4 linked regions of the Drosophila melanogaster genome follow. The protein of the gene in region 1 interacts with the protein of each later gene in a pairwise test. Each region holds a gene or a part of one and is shown in the gene's direction. Other genes may lie near its edges. The genes, in order: Cpn, Cse1, CG34056 and TwdlY.

Region 1 (5,529 bases):
TTTGGTTTTTCCAATCGCACACGGGCCCGACTTTCCACACTCTTACAGTGCGTGCAAAATGACGGCAATTAGGTGTATACGCTGCGCTGATTTATGTTTTTTTTTTTTTTTTGTAGTTGATCGCCTCACCTTCGAAAATAGCCAGGAATGCAATATCCATTGTTTCAGGGAATGGATTTCATCCGAGTATTGTTTTTCGGTATAAAACATTGTTTGAGAAATATTTGTAAAATATGACAAAAACTTCTATTCTATTGCTGGCAATTACAATTTGAGATCACTCATCAGTGACCACAGATTCGAAGAAAATCAAATGTATTTGTTGAGGTACGCAAACTCCTTCGCAGCTCAGATCAATTGTCGAGTTCAGTGATGCAGGAGGAGATAGAATAAAGTATAAATACAATTTGTATGCTTGATGTAATTTCATTTCCACTTATCTTGGTATTTTCTCTGCATTTTGCTTCATGCGATTGATTTATCGCACAGAAAATAATAGGCAGCCAATGTCTGTGCATCCTGTGAAAGGACTCGCTCTCGGCCTTCCAAGCATTCAATCCCTGAGCCGGGTTCAGTTTATATTCAAATGCTTACGCTTAAATGTCAATAATACGTGAAATTGAACTGCCAATTCAATCTTCACAACTACTCCGCATCGCTCCTCCACTTCTCCAGTGAAATCATTTCCATATAAGCGTTTTCCCATCTCGTCTATTTATATATATGTATGTATTTCTTTTCTTTTCGTTCGCAACTCTTTTTATTTTCCATCCTGCGAGAAAAATTCTTTCTGTTCATATGTGGAAAAACTATTTGCAAAAGTCTCAAGTGTGCTCGGTTCCCGGCCAGCAGAGGGGCAAGTGAGGCGAAGGTGTAGGTGGACGTGTTGGTGTTGGACTTTTTAAAACGACGCCTGCAAATTGTACGCAGATCACATTACACTTGCTCCAACGGACGGCATGTGCAACTGCCGGCTGCCTCTGTGGATTGCTTTACATTTGGCTGCACTTCCTACCCGGCATTCACTCGAAAAATTGAAAGATTTATTTCTTAGTTCTTTGCGATTACATTTCCACCGAGCTAATGTGTTCCGATCCAACGGCTACGTAGTGGCAGTTTGTCAACTGTCATTGCATCAGACATTGAATGGGCCACGATAGCAAATGGATTGTGGAGGGTCGGGTGAGGGCGGGGCAGTGCGGGGCAGCGCGGGAACCTGTCGCATTTTGTTGACAACTACATTGCAAATACGGCAAAGTAATCAGTATTGTGTAAATAACCAGTTATGTGTCTGCGAGTGCAGCTGACAAAGCGAGTGGTAAGCGATATGCACTGGATCGCGAATAAATTCTTGAAAGCGTTTCCCCGATTTATCTACCCGATGCATTTGGCAAGATGCGAACGGAATCGATAATCGAATAATATGCGAATATCACTCATACGCAGTGGTGGGCGCCAACGCATGTAGCACACTTTTCAGCGCCAAATGTTTCCTCGTGCGAGCCGGAACAAATTTAATATGTGGCTAAGGTCAGCTGATAAGCACCTTAGTGTCTGGGAATTGGAAAAACGCAAAAAGCACTTGAAACTATGCGTATACTTTCTGCGCTCAATGGGCAGTTGTCGGACTTCTGACCGAAGGTAAACCAATGAAAAGAGGTAAAAATGTCCAAGAAAACTGAGTCAACGGGCCAGTTAAACACCGTTTTTCTCATCGGCAAGTCGGTCGCTGTTTAAAACTATTCAACAAATTAAATTGGTTAATAATATTGAAAATATTCAAAAGGATTGACTTACCTAAGAGGCAGTTCCTAATAGTTGACCATTTCATTGCTGACCGCTTATTTTCGAATTTTTGAACGAAATTGTGCAAGTGCCTTGTTTTCTCTTACATAATTTAGCAACTACAGTTTTGTAAAAGAAAAATATATTTCGAATAGACGTCAGAAGCAAGAGACTAGTTAACTCAATTGCTCTTACTTTTACTTCTCATGTAGTGAAGACAATTCTAATCTCATTTAATCAATGTAATTTTATTGTATAGATATTTGAATCAGTATTTTCCGGAGAACTTTTATTCTTATTTTTCTCATTCTTACGTGGTTTCTCATCGATTTAATTTTATTTAAGACAATGGCCTAAATCATGGTCAGATCCAGCCTTGCCATGTCTCATGTTTTTCTCGTTTTCATTCCTCTGTTTTCAGTTGTCTTCTGACCATGAAAAGCTGGCCATGAAACATTTTTGCAACTAAGCATTGGACAAGGCACAATCCGCCCAAAAGGAAAAAACGGATTAACTTTTATGTGAAAGTGGGCAAAGGATAGACATGGAACCAGGAACCATTCCATCGCCTGTTTCAGCACCAGTTGCTGCGCCTGTGACGCCATCAGCAGTGGCTGCCCCTGTCCAAGTAGTAAGTCCTGCGGCAGTGGCTCCCGCACCAGCGGCACCGATTGCAGTCACTCCAGTTGCTCCACCGCCCACCCTTGCAAGTGTGCAACCGGCAACAGTTACTATTCCAGCTCCAGCTCCAATTGCTGCCGCATCCGTCGCTCCTGTCGCATCTGTGGCGCCTCCAGTTGTTGCAGCTCCAACTCCGCCGGCAGCAAGTCCAGTTTCAACACCACCCGTTGCTGTTGCTCAGATTCCGGTCGCTGTTTCAGCACCAGTGGCACCTCCCGTTGCTGCAACACCCACTCCTGTTGCCCCAATTCCTGTAGCTGCGCCTGTGATAGCGACACCACCTGTTGCTGCCTCTGCCCCCACTCCGGCTGCCGTGACTCCCGTTGTTTCGCCTGTGATCGCCACACCACCTGTGGTTCCCGCTAACACCACGGTTCCCGTTGCAGCACCTGTAGCTGCTGTACCAGCTGCTGTTCCTGTTGTTGCCCCAGTTCTTGCGCCTGCCGTTGCTCCTGCAGTTGCCCCCGTCGTCGCCGAGACTCCAGCTCCACCACCTGTTGCTGAGATTCCGGTTGCAACCATACCGGAGTGCGTTGCACCTCTCATCCCCGAGGTTTCCGTCGTGGCAACGAAACCACTAGCTGCAGCTGAGCCAGTGGTCGTTGCTCCACCGGCTACTGAAACCCCAGTCGTTGCTCCGGCTGCAGCTTCCCCCCATGTGTCGGTTGCACCAGCTGTGGAGACCGCAGTGGTCGCTCCTGTAAGTGCTTCGACTGAGCCCCCGGTAGCTGCTGCGACTCTAACAACTGCACCAGAAACGCCAGCCCTTGCTCCAGTCGTTGCCGAGTCCCAAGTTGCTGCGAATACTGTTGTAGCTACACCTCCTACTCCAGCCCCAGAGCCAGAAACCATTGCACCACCTGTTGTTGCAGAAACCCCAGAAGTTGCTTCAGTTGCTGTTGCTGAGACAACACCACCCGTTGTACCTCCTGTGGCCGCAGAATCAATACCAGCGCCAGTCGTTGCCACGACACCAGTTCCTGCAACACTAGCAGTAACGGATCCGGATGTCACTGCATCTGCTGTTCCCGAATTACCTCCGGTGATCGCTCCATCACCCGTTCCTAGTGCTGTTGCTGAAACTCCTGTCGACTTAGCGCCACCTGTTCTCCCTCCTGTGGCTGCCGAACCTGTACCAGCTGTAGTGGCTGAAGAAACTCCTGAGACACCAGCACCAGCATCAGCACCAGTGACCATAGCAGCTTTAGATATACCAGAAGTTGCTCCTGTGATCGCCGCACCCTCTGATGCACCTGCTGAAGCTCCGTCTGCCGCTGCTCCCATCGTTTCTACTCCACCAACTACGGCTTCTGTTCCCGAGACCACGGCACCACCTGCGGCAGTGCCTACGGAACCTATCGATGTTTCTGTACTATCAGAAGCTGCCATTGAAACGCCAGTTGCACCGCCTGTCGAAGTTACAACAGAAGTTGCAGTTGCAGACGTTGCTCCACCTGAGGCAGCTGCGGATTTAATAATCGAGCCTGTGGAACCACCAGCTCCTATTCCGGATTTATTAGAACAAACTACATCCGTGCCAGCTGTTGAAGCTGCAGAATCAACATCTTCACCAATACCAGAGACCTCATTACCGCCGCCAAATGAAGCAGTTGCCTCTCCAGAAGTGGCTGTCGCTCCAATTACAGCTCCAGAGCCCATACCTGAACCGGAACCAAGCCTAGCGACCCCTACAGAACCCATACCTGTGGAGGCACCTGTCGTAATCCAGGAAGCAGTGGATGCTGTAGAGGTGCCGGTGACAGAAACTTCAACATCGATTCCAGAAACTACGGTTGAGTATCCTGTAGCCGAAAAAGTCCTGGATCCTGCCATAACTGAAGCTCCTGTCACTACTCAGGAACCAGATGTTGCAAACATTAATGACGGTGCTCCAGCTACCGAAATCACCACACCCGCTGTTGAAATCGTTACTGCTGCTGCAGAAGTATCTGATACTGCCATACCGCTCATTGACCCTCCGGTTCCTCAAGAGATCGCAGTAGCTGAAATTCCAGAGACAGAGACAAAGCCGGCAGAGGTCATTGTTGAACAGAGCACCATCCCAATAGAGGCACCAGTCCCGGAGGTTTCAAAATACGCAGAACCAGTGATTTCTGAAGCTCCAGCTGCCGAAGTACCAATTACGGCCGGGGACAACCCAGACAATACTAGTGTGGGAATATCTGAAGTTGTTCCCACCATTGCAGAGAAAGCAGTTGAAGAGGTTCCCACTTCGGAAATCCCCGAACAATCATCGTCACCCTCAGATTCCGTTCCCGTAGCAAAGATAACTCCTTTGCTAAGAGATCTTCAGACCACCGATGTTTCGCTATTGGCTATTGCAGCCACCCTGGATGCCATTGGAGAAAAGCTAAAGGATCAAAAGGCCAGAAATCAGCAGGTAATGGACAGACTCTGCGAAATCGAGAAAATTCTTGGTCCTCCCAAATCCAATTAGCTCAAGTTTAAAGCCTGGATCATGTAAAGTAAAGCTACTAATAAAGCGTTATTTCACCAATTTTAAAGTATATACAAATTTATTACTAATTTCCTTTTCATAATAGGGTTAAAAGAGCCAAGGTATGGCTAGGTTGTCACAAATTGTTCCGTGCAAAATTAATGCAACCAAAACAAATCTACCATTTCCACTTTTTGGACATATCAGCATAGCTGGTTCCAAAGCCACAGCCACAGAACCTAATTTGCAAGCGCGTCGAAAATTTTCCCGTGGAAATTAGCATTCCAAAAGGGAGTGGGACATAAATACAGACGATTGTAAACGGGGAAAATGAATGAATATTTCCCACACTTTGTCAGCGAAAAAACGACATAAATTAGAGTTACCTCTCTGCTTTTGTATCGAGAAAGCTGGCGACTTCTGATAATTGGAAATTTATCAATGAATAATTTAATTTAAAGCTCCTGCTTACGCTTCCTCAAAAGCTTAAATATAAAGACTATCCCTTATTGATTTCATTTAAAAATGAGCCCATGGAATTTATTTTGATCTGTCCTGACGCAAAAGTCAATCGAGAGTCGTAAAAACGGTCGAAAGGGGCCAAA
Region 2 (6,288 bases), on another chromosome or scaffold:
ACTTAAATTCATTAACAAATGCATTCAATAACAATCTATTTGTGTTAATCAGTACTACATGCATGTGCAAAAGTCATACAAAATATGCTTTGTAAATTGGCAATCACAAGTTTCCTTCTTAACTTGCATTCTGGCTTATAAATTACGAAAAGTACACGGACCCGACCGATGCAGATATTTCAGTGTTGCTCCATTTTTAAATGTTAACCTTTTTTGAAACCTAACTACTGTAGTCGGTGCCGTTGAGCGAGTTTTTGAAATGCTGGACGACATAATCGTGATAATAGGCCATTATGCACAGAGGCTGACCAAGAATAATGGAAGCCCACACGATTATATTGCCCATTCGGGGACCCAGTTTCTTTTCAATGGATTTGGATATGGCCGATAGGGGAATCTGACCCATCATGCCCATAAATGCCCAGATCTTGTATATTTGCAAAGGAACTGAAACCTGAAAATATAAATTATATTATTGTACAAAATTTGAAATTCTAAATATCAACCCTCATACCAAATATTCATGGAAGACGGCACTGAAAAGAAAGACAATAGTAGAGGCCTGTCTTGAGGAATATCCCATTTGGACCACAGGGATGTAGAGATGACGCACGCACCACCTATGAACTGGCATGTTCCATGTACGCCAGAAGGTGTCAATGTTATTCGCATTCCACCAATCACAATAAAAATTGCGATCTGCAAAATTCAGCAGTTCGCCGACCGCATTAAGAAAAGAGTGGAACATTAGATAGAAAAAGCAGAGCCAGCAAAGATGATTGGGTAGCTAATTAAAGAAAAATTATTAAATAATACTCAAACGTTTTATAATTTTCACTCTACCAACCGCAAGTTTAAGAAGTCGCTCAGTGGCTAAGGCCACGTCCATATTGGAGAACGGAATCAGGGAGTTCCGAACCGATGGAATGATCCATTGTTGAAACAAGGCCATAACCACATTCACTCCAATCACCACCTCCAATAAACGCTTCAGCAAAAAGCGTTTGCGCACGCGAGAAGTTCGCGGGAAATTCAACTCATAGCAGAGAGTGGGCGCGCAAAGGAAGTACAGGAGATCCTTGTATGTGAGATTATCAGGATATTGCACCAGCTTGGAAACGTCCTCGTCTTCTTCACCTCCATTCAAAACTCCTTTTTCTGGATGAAAGATGAATTTTTAATATATGACATTCCGTTGAGAGATCTCAACATACTTAGTTCCGCCAAAGTTATGCTTGGTCGACGCTCCCGCGGATTCTTTTGATAATAAGTCTGACGGCACCACATATTCGTCTGCACATAGGACCATAGTTTTAGGAACAACACAGAGTAAAAGAAGCAAACTGTTGAAGCGCCCACTAAAGATTAACAGATAATTAAATATTTTAAAATACACCTAAACTAAGTTAATTTCTCACTCAAACTAAAAGCATGTCCTTTTAGGTGAATTGTTACCACCGGTAGGCAAACCAAGACAACAATGTTCACTATCTGGATGAACAAGCCCAAGCCCTCTGCAATTATTTCCTGGAAAAGAATTACAAATTTGTTTTAATTTTTAATTCATTCAGTTGGTTTTTGAAAAAAAAAAACAGGAATTGATATCATATCAAATGATACTAAATTAGTAAAGTTCAATATGCGATATTTCTGATATGAACATTTAAAATCTAAAACCATCGAATCCTAGTAACAGTAACTATAAACAATCGATATCGAAAACTCGCCCTGAGTTCCATCCCCAGATCGGCGAGCATTGTGTGCGAAAACGAATTGCGATTTCATTTCATGTTGCAAGAGTGTGGAGGAACAAGCCACGAGTGATATAAATTAAAGCAAATAGGACCATCGAAAAGAAAATATACTCAAAATGGAAGTGACAGAGGCAAATTTACAGCTGCTGGCCGGTTATTTGCAGCAGACGCTGAGCGCCGATCCCAATGTCCGCCGGCCGGGTGAGTGTGTGTGTGTAGGAATGCATGTGCACACACACAACTGCACATGCGTGCAGGGGTGCTGATGTGTATGTGCGCGGGAAATGGTTTTTGGCGACGCCAAAGAAAAATACGGTTTTTAAATCCATTTGAAGTTGTCTACAAGTTTTCCCTATGTCAAAGAATTTATACAGTCACGCTTTCTATTAATTGAATCGAGATTAGCTGATCTTGATATGACTGTTGCCAAGCCACCTTTCAAAACCATAGACCTAGTTTTAGGATTATTTAAGGCATACCAAGCCTATAGACTCCGCACCACCATAACCAAGCTTTTGAAAATATTGTATAAAAAACTTATTGCTTGAATTGAAAATATGTTTAGTCTAACGAGAAACACTGTAAGCTCCTATCGGTTCCTTATATATTTGTATTTGCAACATCCGATTTACATAAGTACAATAGTTCTAACAAACACACCATTTCCTTCTCTACTTTTATAGCCGAAAAACTTTTGGAGTCCACGGAACTACAGCAGAATTACCCGATCCTACTGCTCAATCTGATAGACAAAGCCCAAATGGACATGACTACGCGGGTGGCGGGAGCCATTGCCTTTAAGAACTATATTAAGCGGAATTGGGCAGCCCACCTTGACAGCGACGGACCGGATCGCATCCACGAAAGTGACAGGAATACAATTAAGACCTTGATCGTTACGCTAATGCTCCACTCACCGGTGGCATTGCAAAAACAACTAAGCGACGCGGTCAGCATCATAGGCAAATATGATTTTCCCAAAAAATGGCCGCAGCTTATCGACGAGATGGTGGAGAGATTTGCCTCTGGTGATTTCAATGTCATCAACGGCGTTTTGCAAACCGCACACTCGCTTTTCAAGCGCTATCGTTATGAGTTCAAGTCGCAGGCTTTGTGGGAGGAGATCAAATTTGTACTGGATCGTATGGCTAAACCTCTGACAGACCTGCTCCAGGCCACAATGCAGTTGACTAAGGTGCACGAGAACAATGCCGGCGCCCTGAAGGTCATCTACGGTTCATTGGTCCTTGTGAACAAGGTGTTTTTCTCGCTCAACTCCCAAGATTTGCCGGAGTTCTTTGAGGACAATATCAATACGTGGATGGGAGCGTTTATTCAGCAACTAGCTGCGGATGTGCCATCCCTGCGTACTGCAGATGATGAGGATGCGGGTGTTCTAGAGCATCTGCGTGCTCAAGTCTGCGAGAACATTTGCCTTTATGCAAAAAAGTACGACGAGGAGTTCAAGCCATTTATGGAGCAATTTGTGACTGCAGTTTGGGAGTTACTGGTCAAGACAAGTTTGCACACCAAGTACGATTCGGTAAGTAACAGAAACCATACGCTTTCTTAATAATTATTTTTATAATTTTTCCATTCTTATTTTGCGCACAGTTGGTCTCCCATGCTCTGCAGTTCCTCTCTGTGGTGGCTGACCGCCAGCATTATCAGAGCATTTTCGAGAACCCAGAGATTCTTGCTCAGATCTGCGATAAAGTTGTCATTCCCAATCTAGACATCCGGCCCTCAGATGAAGAAATTTTCGAGGACAGTCCGGAGGAGTACATTCGAAGGGATATTGAAGGCTCTGACATTGACACACGACGTCGGGCGGCATGTGATCTGGTGAAGACTCTATCAATCAACTTTGAACAAAAGATCTTTGGCATTTTTGGCCAGTATCTAGAGAGATTGTTGACCAAGTACAAGGAGAATCCGGCTACCAATTGGAGGTCAAAGGATACGGCAATTTATTTGGTTACTTCGTGGGCATCTCGAGGAGGAACTCAAAAGCATGGCATCACACAGACCTCGGAGTTGGTTCCACTTCCCGAATTTTGTGCCCAGCAAATTATTCCAGAACTGGAAAGACCCAACAGTAAGCCCAAATAACCATTTTCCCAATTCGATCATCTTATATCTGCATTCTTCCAATGCTCTTTGCAGTTAACGAGTTTCCTGTTCTTAAGGCTGCTGCAATTAAGTATGTAATGGTGTTCCGCAGCATTTTGGGTCCCCAAGTCTTAGCAAGCTGCCTGCCCCAGCTAATTCGACATCTCCCCGCCGAAAGCTCTGTTGTTCATAGCTATGCTGCTTGTTCAGTGGAGAAGATCCTTTCTATGCGGGATGCTAGCAACGCGATCGTTTTTGGTCCTCAGATTTTAGCACCTTACACAACTGAACTAATTAGTGGGTTATTTGCGACCCTTTCACTCCCAGGTTCCGGTGAAAATGAGTACGTAATGAAAGGTGAGTTTGGGGGACTATCTCATACGTTTCTAATATGTTAACAAAACTCTAATTATTATTATTAGCCATTATGCGAAGTTTTTCGGTCTTGCAATCGGCCGCCATGCCCTTTATGGGCGTCGCCCTTCCACGGCTTACCGAGATTCTCACCCAAGTGGCCAAGAATCCATCGCGTCCGCAGTTCAACCACTATCTTTTTGAAACGCTGGCTCTGTGTATAAAGTAAGTGTTATGCATTTTGGTGGTAAAGAGCAATAACAAATTTTCTTTTTCCCTAGAATTGTTTGTCACGCCGATTCCTCGGCTGTGAGCTCCTTTGAGGAGGCATTGTTCCCAGTTTTCCAGGGCATCTTACAGCAGGACATTGTCGAATTTATGCCCTACGTCTTCCAGATGCTTTCTGTGCTGTTGGAAATGCGCGAGGGCACTGGTACCATACCGGAACCCTATTGGGCTTTGTTCCCCTGCTTGTTGTCACCAGCTCTGTGGGACAGGACGGGCAATGTCACACCATTAATTCGCCTGATTTCTGCTTTCATCAAGCAGGGATCTGCTCAGATTCAAGCCTTGGGTAAACTGGTAAGTTATATTATACATCACAAATTTTATTTTACAGAGTCCAATCTTATGCATTTTTCAACATATATTTCAGAGCGGTATCCTCGGAATATTCCAAAAGATGATTGCCTCCAAGGCTAATGACCATGAAGGGTTTTATCTTCTCCAGAATCTGCTTTCCTACTACCCTCCCGCTGAGATTCAAACTAATCTTCGTCAGATCTTTGGCCTGCTCTTCCAGCGATTGTCTCTCTCAAAGACTCCGAAGTATTTAAGCGGCATCATTATCTTCTTTAGCTTTTATGTGATTAAGTTCAGTGGCAGTCAGATGGCTCAATTGATAGATGAGATTCAGCCTAACCTATTTGGCATGCTGCTGGACCGCGTGTTTATCACCGAAATGGGCAAGATTCCCAAGGAACAGGATCGCAAAATGGTGGCCGTGGGTGTCACTAAGCTACTTACAGAAACTCCTGAGATATTGCAGCAACAGTACGCTACTTTCTGGCCACGACTGCTGCATTCTCTAATCGATCTTTTTGAACGACCACCAGAGAAATTGATGGGTCTCGAAATAGGAGAGACAGCTGGAGTTGCCGAAGATCCCGATGCGGGCTATCAAGTGGCATTTGCCCAACTGACTCATGCCCAGCCCAACCAGCAGGATCACCTGGCTGAGATTAAGGATGCTCGCCAGTTTCTAGCAACTTCGCTCTCTAAGTTTGCCCAGGCTAGGGCAGGAGAATTTTCCACTTTGTTGTCGCCCCTGGAGCCGGAGTACAAGCAAGTACTCCAGAAATATTGTGATCAGGCTGGAGTACGCATTGCCTAAAGGAATCGACCGACTTTAAGCTCATTCATCGCAATCAAACCTCGCCATACATTCGAAAATTTATGCATACACGCACTCGATCACTCATTGCATGCCCAGTTTATTGTCATTTAAAAATTGTATCTAATATATGTAAGTTTTGTAAACAATTAAAAATTATGTTTTCCGAAACTAGTGTGTTTCAACTGCGATAACTTCTGAATATTTCATACTTTTCTCTCTGATAAACAAATCATTTCTTGTCAAACACCCTTCACTCAATTTCAAAATTGTGAATTTAGAATTAACTAGATATTTCGAAATTTATCATATAAGCCATGTTCAAGCTAATAACGTATTTCAAGTCACGATCGAAGAAAATAGGCGTGAGATGCTATCAAAGTAAGTACTTACCATGGCTAGACCCTTCTCCACAGCCAAACAGAGCGAGATATGCACTAAAGAGTCTGTAAAATATGGTGAGACGAAGGTTATCAATTTCGTTTGCGTAATCCTTGATTTTGTGCGTGCTTACAAATGCTCAGGATTAGGGCGTTATGTCCTTCGCCTTCGTTGTGTCCGCTTATGAAGAAGAACCAATCCAGTGGATTGATGCGAATGCCATACCTAAAAAAATAATGAATTAGCTAAAACTTGTATTTCTACTCAAGATCATCGTAGTTACTTTAGGAGATT
Region 3 (3,475 bases), on another chromosome or scaffold:
TTATTTTTTTTGTAACTGTTATATAATTTGTGGAATACTCCAAAAAAAAATGTATGTTTATCAGCACCTATTGTTATGTCCAATACGAAAAGTGTGTTTTAAAGCCATTGCGGAAATGGAATTGGTAACTGAATTTATATCTTATTTAACCAATTATCTTTTTTTTTTGTAAGCTCCAACTGCCTGATGGTCTTGAAACGCACTGTTCTGTGTCCTAATTTTTCGTATAACCAAAACATGATTTTTCTTTGAAACTTTTATATTTTTTGTAATACCCAAGTCACATTCTGTTGTCCCCGATTAATGTATGTTTTAGTTTTAAGTAGTTTCTAAGGCTGTGTAACTAACTAACATAAGTAATAATCCCTTTTTGCGTATGGCCAGGTATAAAGAGGTATCGTCACCCCGAATGTTGTAATTAAGTTTGCCGGACAATTTTTGTTTATTTCGCAACCTTTTCCTTTTTTTTGAAGCCTCTGACCAGAGGCTCCTCCGATAAACAGAAATTGGCAAGTGCACTTACTAAACGTATAACGAGGATTAGCATGTAATCGGAGGAAGTAATAGAGTTGCTCCAAGTACGCTGAGCCAGCTGACAAACTAATATTACAAGTTTTGTAACAAAGTTTTCTAAGGCCAGAGATGAGTGTATGAAAGGCGGCGAAAGGCCCAATAGCAAAGAATAACAAGACACTAGATGTTTAACAATGCGAAACGATTAACAACACAATCTGAAGTGAAATAATTAGTCCACATTTAGTCTAAAGAAACCATGCTAAAGTAAATCTACAAAGTAAAGCGAATTCAGTTAAACTAAGTAAACATAACAAGCGGATATGTACCATGGAAAGCTAAATCATAAACGACCGAAATGAAATGAACATTATCTAGCAATAAAATAAACGAGTGATTTCATTGCCACAAGCAAAGCCGTTCGCTCTGGATTAACTGGGATTTCAGTGGGCGAGAGGCGCTAACTTGTGCCGGAGTGGGTCAAGAGGAGGTTCCAAACCGGTTGGCCACAAAAATAGATGCCGGTGCGTTCCTCCGGATGCTCTTGGCCCACGAAAGGGAAAGGGAAACCATTCGGCGGCTAGTCAGCCGATAATTGTCAGCGACTTTGGACCAAATTTAGTCTTGTTTTGGTTTCCTATTGTTGACTATTGGAAAGATTTGCTGAAAGAGACGACCGACGCGACATGGCAGCGAAGACGAACTCACCGCACCACGTGTGACTCATTACAAATGCCAATCACAAGCCAAAGCTGAAAACTCGTTTTGGCCGGGCTGAGAGAGGTGCACTTGAAACAAAATCTTATGCGGCAACTTAAATATGTTTTTTTTCTGATTATTAATCGTTTTTGGTTTGCAGCCTTCAACAAATTGTTTCCGTTTCTTATATTATGTTTATAAAAATGATTTATTTTTTGTTGGAAGCTACTATGAAATTGTTTCTTTCAGTGACTTTAATTGCCCACATCTTTCTCAGTTGGGGGAGACTCTTTAAGCCATTTGCGATGTGAGCCCATCGAGCAGTCGACGATCAGCTGGCGGCGATGAGCGACACCGCGAAATGCATTCGCTGTGCCCCCGGCTCGTTTTGTAAGAGCTCCACTCCAGTGCCCTCCATTTCCCCACAGCGGAATCGCCAAATGCCAGCTGGAGCTGGTTAGTTGCAGCCAGGAACACTCTCGCCATGTATCGCAATATACTCTGCCTGGTGCTGGGCCTCATCATTGGCATTCAACTGACAGACTTCTTAGAGTACTTTCAGCTGACCGATAGTCAGTTCGCCAGCACGTCCATTACGCAGCTGGAGGAAGGGGCCAGCCAGCTGGCGACGGAGGAGGAACTGGCCTTGTGGCTCCATAACGAGACACGGGTACTCTGCATGGTGCTAACCCTGCCAAAGAATCACCAATCAAGAGTGAGACGAGTTAAGGGCACATGGGGCAGGCGCTGCAACAAGCTGATCTTCATCAGCAGCCAGGAGGATCGGGAACTGGGCGTCATTGATGTGGGCGTGCCCGAGGATCGAAACAACCTGTATCTCAAAATGAGGAAGGCCCTAGAGTATGTGTACCGGAACCATGGAGAAGACTACGACTGGTTCCTCAAGGCAGATGATGACACGTAAGTGAAAACATACCGAGTTCCAAAATCACATATTCATTTTCACCCAATTTTAGCTTTGTGATAATGGAAAACCTGCGCTTCCTGCTCTATCCCTATGATCCCGAGGCAGCGCTCTACTTTGGCCACAGATTCCGCACCACCTTTCCGCAGGGCTACATGTCCGGAGGAGCTGGCTATGTGATGAGTCGGGATGCACTGCGTCGGCTCAATCTCTTTGCCTTCAACAACAGCCAATTCTGCCCGATTAACAACAATTCAGAGGACAGGCAGATTGGCTTCTGCCTGCAAAATGTGGGAGTAGTTGCAGGGGATTCGCGGGATGAGGAAGGCCGGGATCGGTTTCTGCCCTTGTCTCTCAAATTTATGCTGCCTACCTTTCCCACCGACAATTGGCTGCCCAAACTGACATTTTATGAACCAGTATGTATAATATCTTAGAAAGTACTACATTATTTCTAATATATTATTGTTTCAGGTGAATGAAACTGGCTCGACTTCGGGAATCAGCTTTCACTATGTCAAAATCCACGAGTTCGAAATGTATGAATACCTGCTATATCGATTGCACATTTTTGGAACTCCCTTGTCCCAGAGAACGCTGCCACCCCGACTGGGTCCCGATGAACTGCAGAATCAGCTGAATCAGTGGGCTCAAGAAAATAGCACGAATTCAAACGCGTGGCTGAAACAAGAATAATATATATAGTATATTAGTACATATTTAAGACTCATTTTAACATACCGACAGTCAAATAGAATTAGTTTTTAAACTCTTAAGAATATCATTAAATAGAAAACAATTGTTTTTATACTTTCAAGACTTTGTGACTGACTGCCATCAGCAGTTTACCAACGAACAAATTGTATTGTTTCACGGACTCTCTAATCGAAATGTATAAACGAAATTGCTGCGCCAATTGGACACAGCATGGGATCTCTCTTCTCACCAAAGAAAATACTGCAATCGCAGTATACAATGATCCTGGTAATGATTCGGAACATCATCTTCCTCGTCTTAGGCATTATGTTGGGCATTCGACTCACCGATTTTATAGGCTACCTGAAGCTGTGGAGGAATAATGACTTGCGGGCGAGTGAGAAGGCTGCTCTACTTAAGTATCCAGTGGCCTCGGAGGAGCACCTGGCTACCTGGCTGAGAAGGGAGGTGCGCATACTCTGCCTAGTGCTCACGATGCCATCTTCACATGCCACAAAGGCGGCGTTGGTAAATCGGACATGGGGAGCGCGTTGCAATAAGCTGATCTTTATGAGCAGCCAAACAGATTCCAATCTGAACATACTCCAGATAAACAAATCCGAATCCCGAAAGAATCTATAT
Region 4 (3,452 bases), on another chromosome or scaffold:
TACCTGAGGGTATTAAATAAAAATTAGCCATACTAAATATATTATGCGGCAAATGCGGTCACGCCCGCAAAACAAATATATTATCAATTACAAATGGGAGGAGGGCAGAAATCAGTTACCAACTCCCATATCTCTTGCTCTCTCTCGGAAATCTGGCGATCTGCATATCAATGGGCGGCGGCGGCCAGATCTTTTGCATAAAGATAATCACACCTACTAAATAAAACCTACCGCGACGGACGGTAGCCGCCAAGAGCCGAGGTCCGAAGAAGATTGAGATCGAAAGATCGAAGATTTGTCCCTCGATTCGATTTCTATTACTGTCATCATCAATAAAATGTTACATAAATTTTCAGCACAGCAAGCGATCGCGATCGCGATCGCAGGTGGTTATAAATATGGAATGCCTAATTGATAATTATCATTTTGTTCGATTTTCCATAATCCACGGGCGATATGCGATCTATGCGATCTATCTGTGATCGCTGATCGGCTAATGGCTAAATTAGTCTAGTCGGATTGAAAATCGATTGGAAACTGTTAGAATACGGATTACTATCCATTCCATTGTTTGTCACCGCAAAGTGTCAATCGGTTTTATGCATTTATGCTCTGTCATCAATCTTGGCGGCCATAAATCCATTCAAAGGCATTATTCAAATATGCTCGATGAGTGCAAATTATGTTTTATGTGTTTATTTTGGCAATATTTATGCGACCTCCAAAGCGACGAGTGAATGTTGGTTCGCGTCTTGGCTTCTCAGCTGACTCACCCAATGGACTTTGCGTTGGGGTCACCATTTATGGTGACAAAAATATCGAAGCACCAGTCGAAATCGATGGGAAATTCCGGAAAGCGAATGAGATGGCTAATCGGAGCGGTAATGATTTGATCTTTTAAGGCAACGGAAATTAAATGGGACTCAATTCTAAATCAATACCATTTTCATTTTTCATAATATATAATATAATATAATATATGTAAAACTAAAGAGTTGCAAAAGAAGTAAATTTGAATTTATATATTTGTATATTTCTGTTACAAGCAAATATTTTTTCATGCAACTGTTTTGTTTTCACTTAATTATCAAGCGTTATAGGATTATTAAAGCAATAGTTTACATTCGTATAATGTGCTAAACATGATTTTAAAAGGAACTTCTGGATAATAAGGTCCTTATTAGCATATATATAATATATAATATCACATATAATATAGAAATAAATGTTAGCCTGACTGGCTTGCAGCCGTCTCCAAATATTCATTGATCAATCCAACTGTTATAGATATTCGCAAATTAATTGATAGGCCCGAAACTAATGATAGACGTGGGCAAACAAACTAAAAAAAAAAAAAAAACCCAGCAAACGTGTTTCTGGACAAGATTAATGCCGCCAGCGGTGATGAGGTGCCGTTTAATGAGATTCGCTAGGCCCCCATTCAATAGTTTCTTTTTTGCATGTAAGATAGGTATATATCAGCTAGTTATGAAGCCGTATATTTAGATATTTGCTAATCCATCGTGAATGCCCAGCCGACCGCCAGGGTCACCGCACCGCTGCGGCCCAGTCAAGTTCAATGTCAGAGAAGACTCTTTGTCCAATGGTTAGTCCAAGCTATGGTGGTTTCTATTGCTGTTGCTATTTCGGCTGCGTTCGTTCTAATTTGAATAAATTTTAGGTCAGATCACAAGGCGTATGCCATGCCAATGGATCCATAGGCCCAGAGAAGACGCTGATGACGATGCTTTGGATATCGAGAGCAGCGGCGACGATGATGTTATATGCGGCATTTGCATTTGCATAAGCGGCCAAACAGCGACGCCGACAGAGGAGGCAGCCATTTGACAATCGGAGCATATTTAAGACAAGTGGAGCGGCCCAAAATGCAATCATTGCCTCGCAGCAATTCGTCAACGAAGCATCCCAAACAGGAGAACTACCATTAAGGATTACAAACACTCGAGAAGGGATTACACATATAAAAAAAAAAAAAAAAAAAAAAACACCATGTTTGTCCACCAAGTGCTCGTGAGCTGCCTGATCCTGGTGGCTTTGACCCAAGCCCGTCCTCAGTACGGCTACGAACAGCCCAGTTCGGACATCTTCATCGGCGGTGGATCGGCGCCCGTTGGTGGTGTGGGCATCGGTGGCTCCTCCGGTGGCGGTCTGGTTAGCATCCAGCCACACCGTGGTGGCGACAAGTACCTGCCGCCGGCCAGCACCACCCTGGCGCCCATCATCAACAAGAAATTCTATCTGGTTTCCGCACCCGAGGATCACAGCAACGATGGCAAGGTGAAGCATCTGGTCTTGGGACGTCCGCAGAAGAACTACCGCGTGGTGTTCATCAAGGCTCCAGCCGGCGATAATGCCAACGTGAAGTATTCCGCCGAGTTTGCGCCACAGGAGGAGAAGACCGTCATCTATGTGCTCAGCAAGAAGGATAACGATGTGGACGCCAGCGATATTGCCACGCCCGCACCCACGCAGCCCAGCAAGCCGGAGGTGTTCTTCATCAAGTACAAGACCGACGACGAGGCCAAGCAGGCGCAGCAGGAGATCCAGGGCCAGTACGACAAGCTGGGAGGCACCAACGAGTATCAGGAGGACAACAATGCCCCCATCACCTCGGTGATCGGCAGCCTCGATGGCCTGAATCCCGATGGTAGCTACAACTACCGCCAGATCGCCAACCGTCCACCAGCAGTGGTGCCCAACTCGCAGTATCTGCCCAGTTTGCTGAAGCACTAGAGGATGTCGGTGCATCAGTAGATCATCTCTCCATCATCTAAATCAGAAAACAAAACACCCATTCTCGAACCCTGTTGTGTTGTATATTCTTAAGAACGCCCTCAATATTTTTTTGTATTTTTTTTTTTGTTATATCGAACCGTTGTTAATAAAAAGCTTATATTAAAAAAAAAAAATCATAAGCAATGTGTTTAAGTTTCTCAAAGAAATCTCGATTGCCATTTCTTTTATCAAGTGAAAATTAATGAAAAGATGCTTTGGAAAAATCTTCCAGTAATTTCCAATGTTTCTATTTTTTCAAAAATCTCACATTTCTTGTTTCACCAGTCCAATAAAACCATATGTAAAAATAGGTATGAAAAAAGTCAGAAGGTCAGTCATTTAAAAAATTAATAAAAATCGTATAAATAAAATTGAAATGTCTCATCGGCGCAATTAAATTAAAAACGAAATCAAAATCCAAATCAAAGTCAAAGTCAAAAATAAATCGAGGCAGAAACAAAAATTTTAGCTTTGTTTTCCCCAGATATTCAAATCAGCAGACACATTTCAATATATGTCCAAATCCAAAACCAAATCGGAATCGGAATTGGAATTGGAATCGGTCGGTATTCACAAATCGAAGCCAAAGCTGCCGTTAAAATTTCCAACAGAAATTAGCTTAAATGAAGTGAGAAATCAAAATAAGCTCATCAAAT

Evidence for each region.
Region 2: the proteins of Cpn (region 1) and Cse1 interact in a two-hybrid assay, tested with the Drosophila melanogaster proteins (one large-scale study listed by BioGRID).
Region 3: the proteins of Cpn (region 1) and CG34056 interact in a two-hybrid assay, tested with the Drosophila melanogaster proteins (one large-scale study listed by BioGRID).
Region 4: the proteins of Cpn (region 1) and TwdlY interact in a two-hybrid assay, tested with the Drosophila melanogaster proteins (one large-scale study listed by BioGRID).

Annotation. Positions count from the first base shown.
Region 1 is NT_033777.3:12,162,351-12,167,879, reverse strand, and holds Cpn (calphotin), read left to right. Parts: upstream 1-1,693; 5' UTR 1,694-1,759; intron 1,760-2,206; 5' UTR 2,207-2,329; coding exon 2,330-4,924; 3' UTR 4,925-4,993; downstream 4,994-5,529. UniProt on the Drosophila melanogaster protein: Plays important roles in both rhabdomere development and in photoreceptor cell survival. Might function as a calcium-sequestering 'sponge' to regulate the amount of free cytoplasmic calcium. It binds 0.3 mole of Ca(2+) per mole of protein.
Region 2 is NT_033779.5:16,820,649-16,826,936, reverse strand, and holds Cse1 (chromosome segregation 1), read left to right. Parts: upstream 1-1,729; 5' UTR 1,730-1,870; coding exon 1,871-1,955; intron 1,956-2,437; coding exon 2,438-3,297; intron 3,298-3,368; coding exon 3,369-3,852; intron 3,853-3,920; coding exon 3,921-4,223; intron 4,224-4,288; coding exon 4,289-4,445; intron 4,446-4,501; coding exon 4,502-4,802; intron 4,803-4,875; coding exon 4,876-5,613; 3' UTR 5,614-5,781; downstream 5,782-6,288. Other genes in the region: mdy (midway), read right to left, coding at 221-454, 515-787, 848-1,158, 1,215-1,358, 1,419-1,527, 6,007-6,059, 6,128-6,219, 6,278-6,288; CG13280 (uncharacterized protein), read left to right, coding at 5,931-5,994. UniProt on the Drosophila melanogaster protein: Export receptor for importin alpha. Mediates importin-alpha re-export from the nucleus to the cytoplasm after import substrates have been released into the nucleoplasm.
Region 3 is NT_037436.4:894,419-897,893, forward strand, and holds CG34056 (uncharacterized protein), read left to right. Parts: upstream 1-1,532; 5' UTR 1,533-1,696; coding exon 1,697-2,133; intron 2,134-2,189; coding exon 2,190-2,556; intron 2,557-2,611; coding exon 2,612-2,833; 3' UTR 2,834-2,946; downstream 2,947-3,475. Other genes in the region: CG34057 (uncharacterized protein), read left to right, coding at 3,065-3,475.
Region 4 is NC_004354.4:16,733,063-16,736,514, forward strand, and holds TwdlY (TweedleY), read left to right. Parts: upstream 1-1,884; 5' UTR 1,885-2,010; coding exon 2,011-2,754; 3' UTR 2,755-2,918; downstream 2,919-3,452.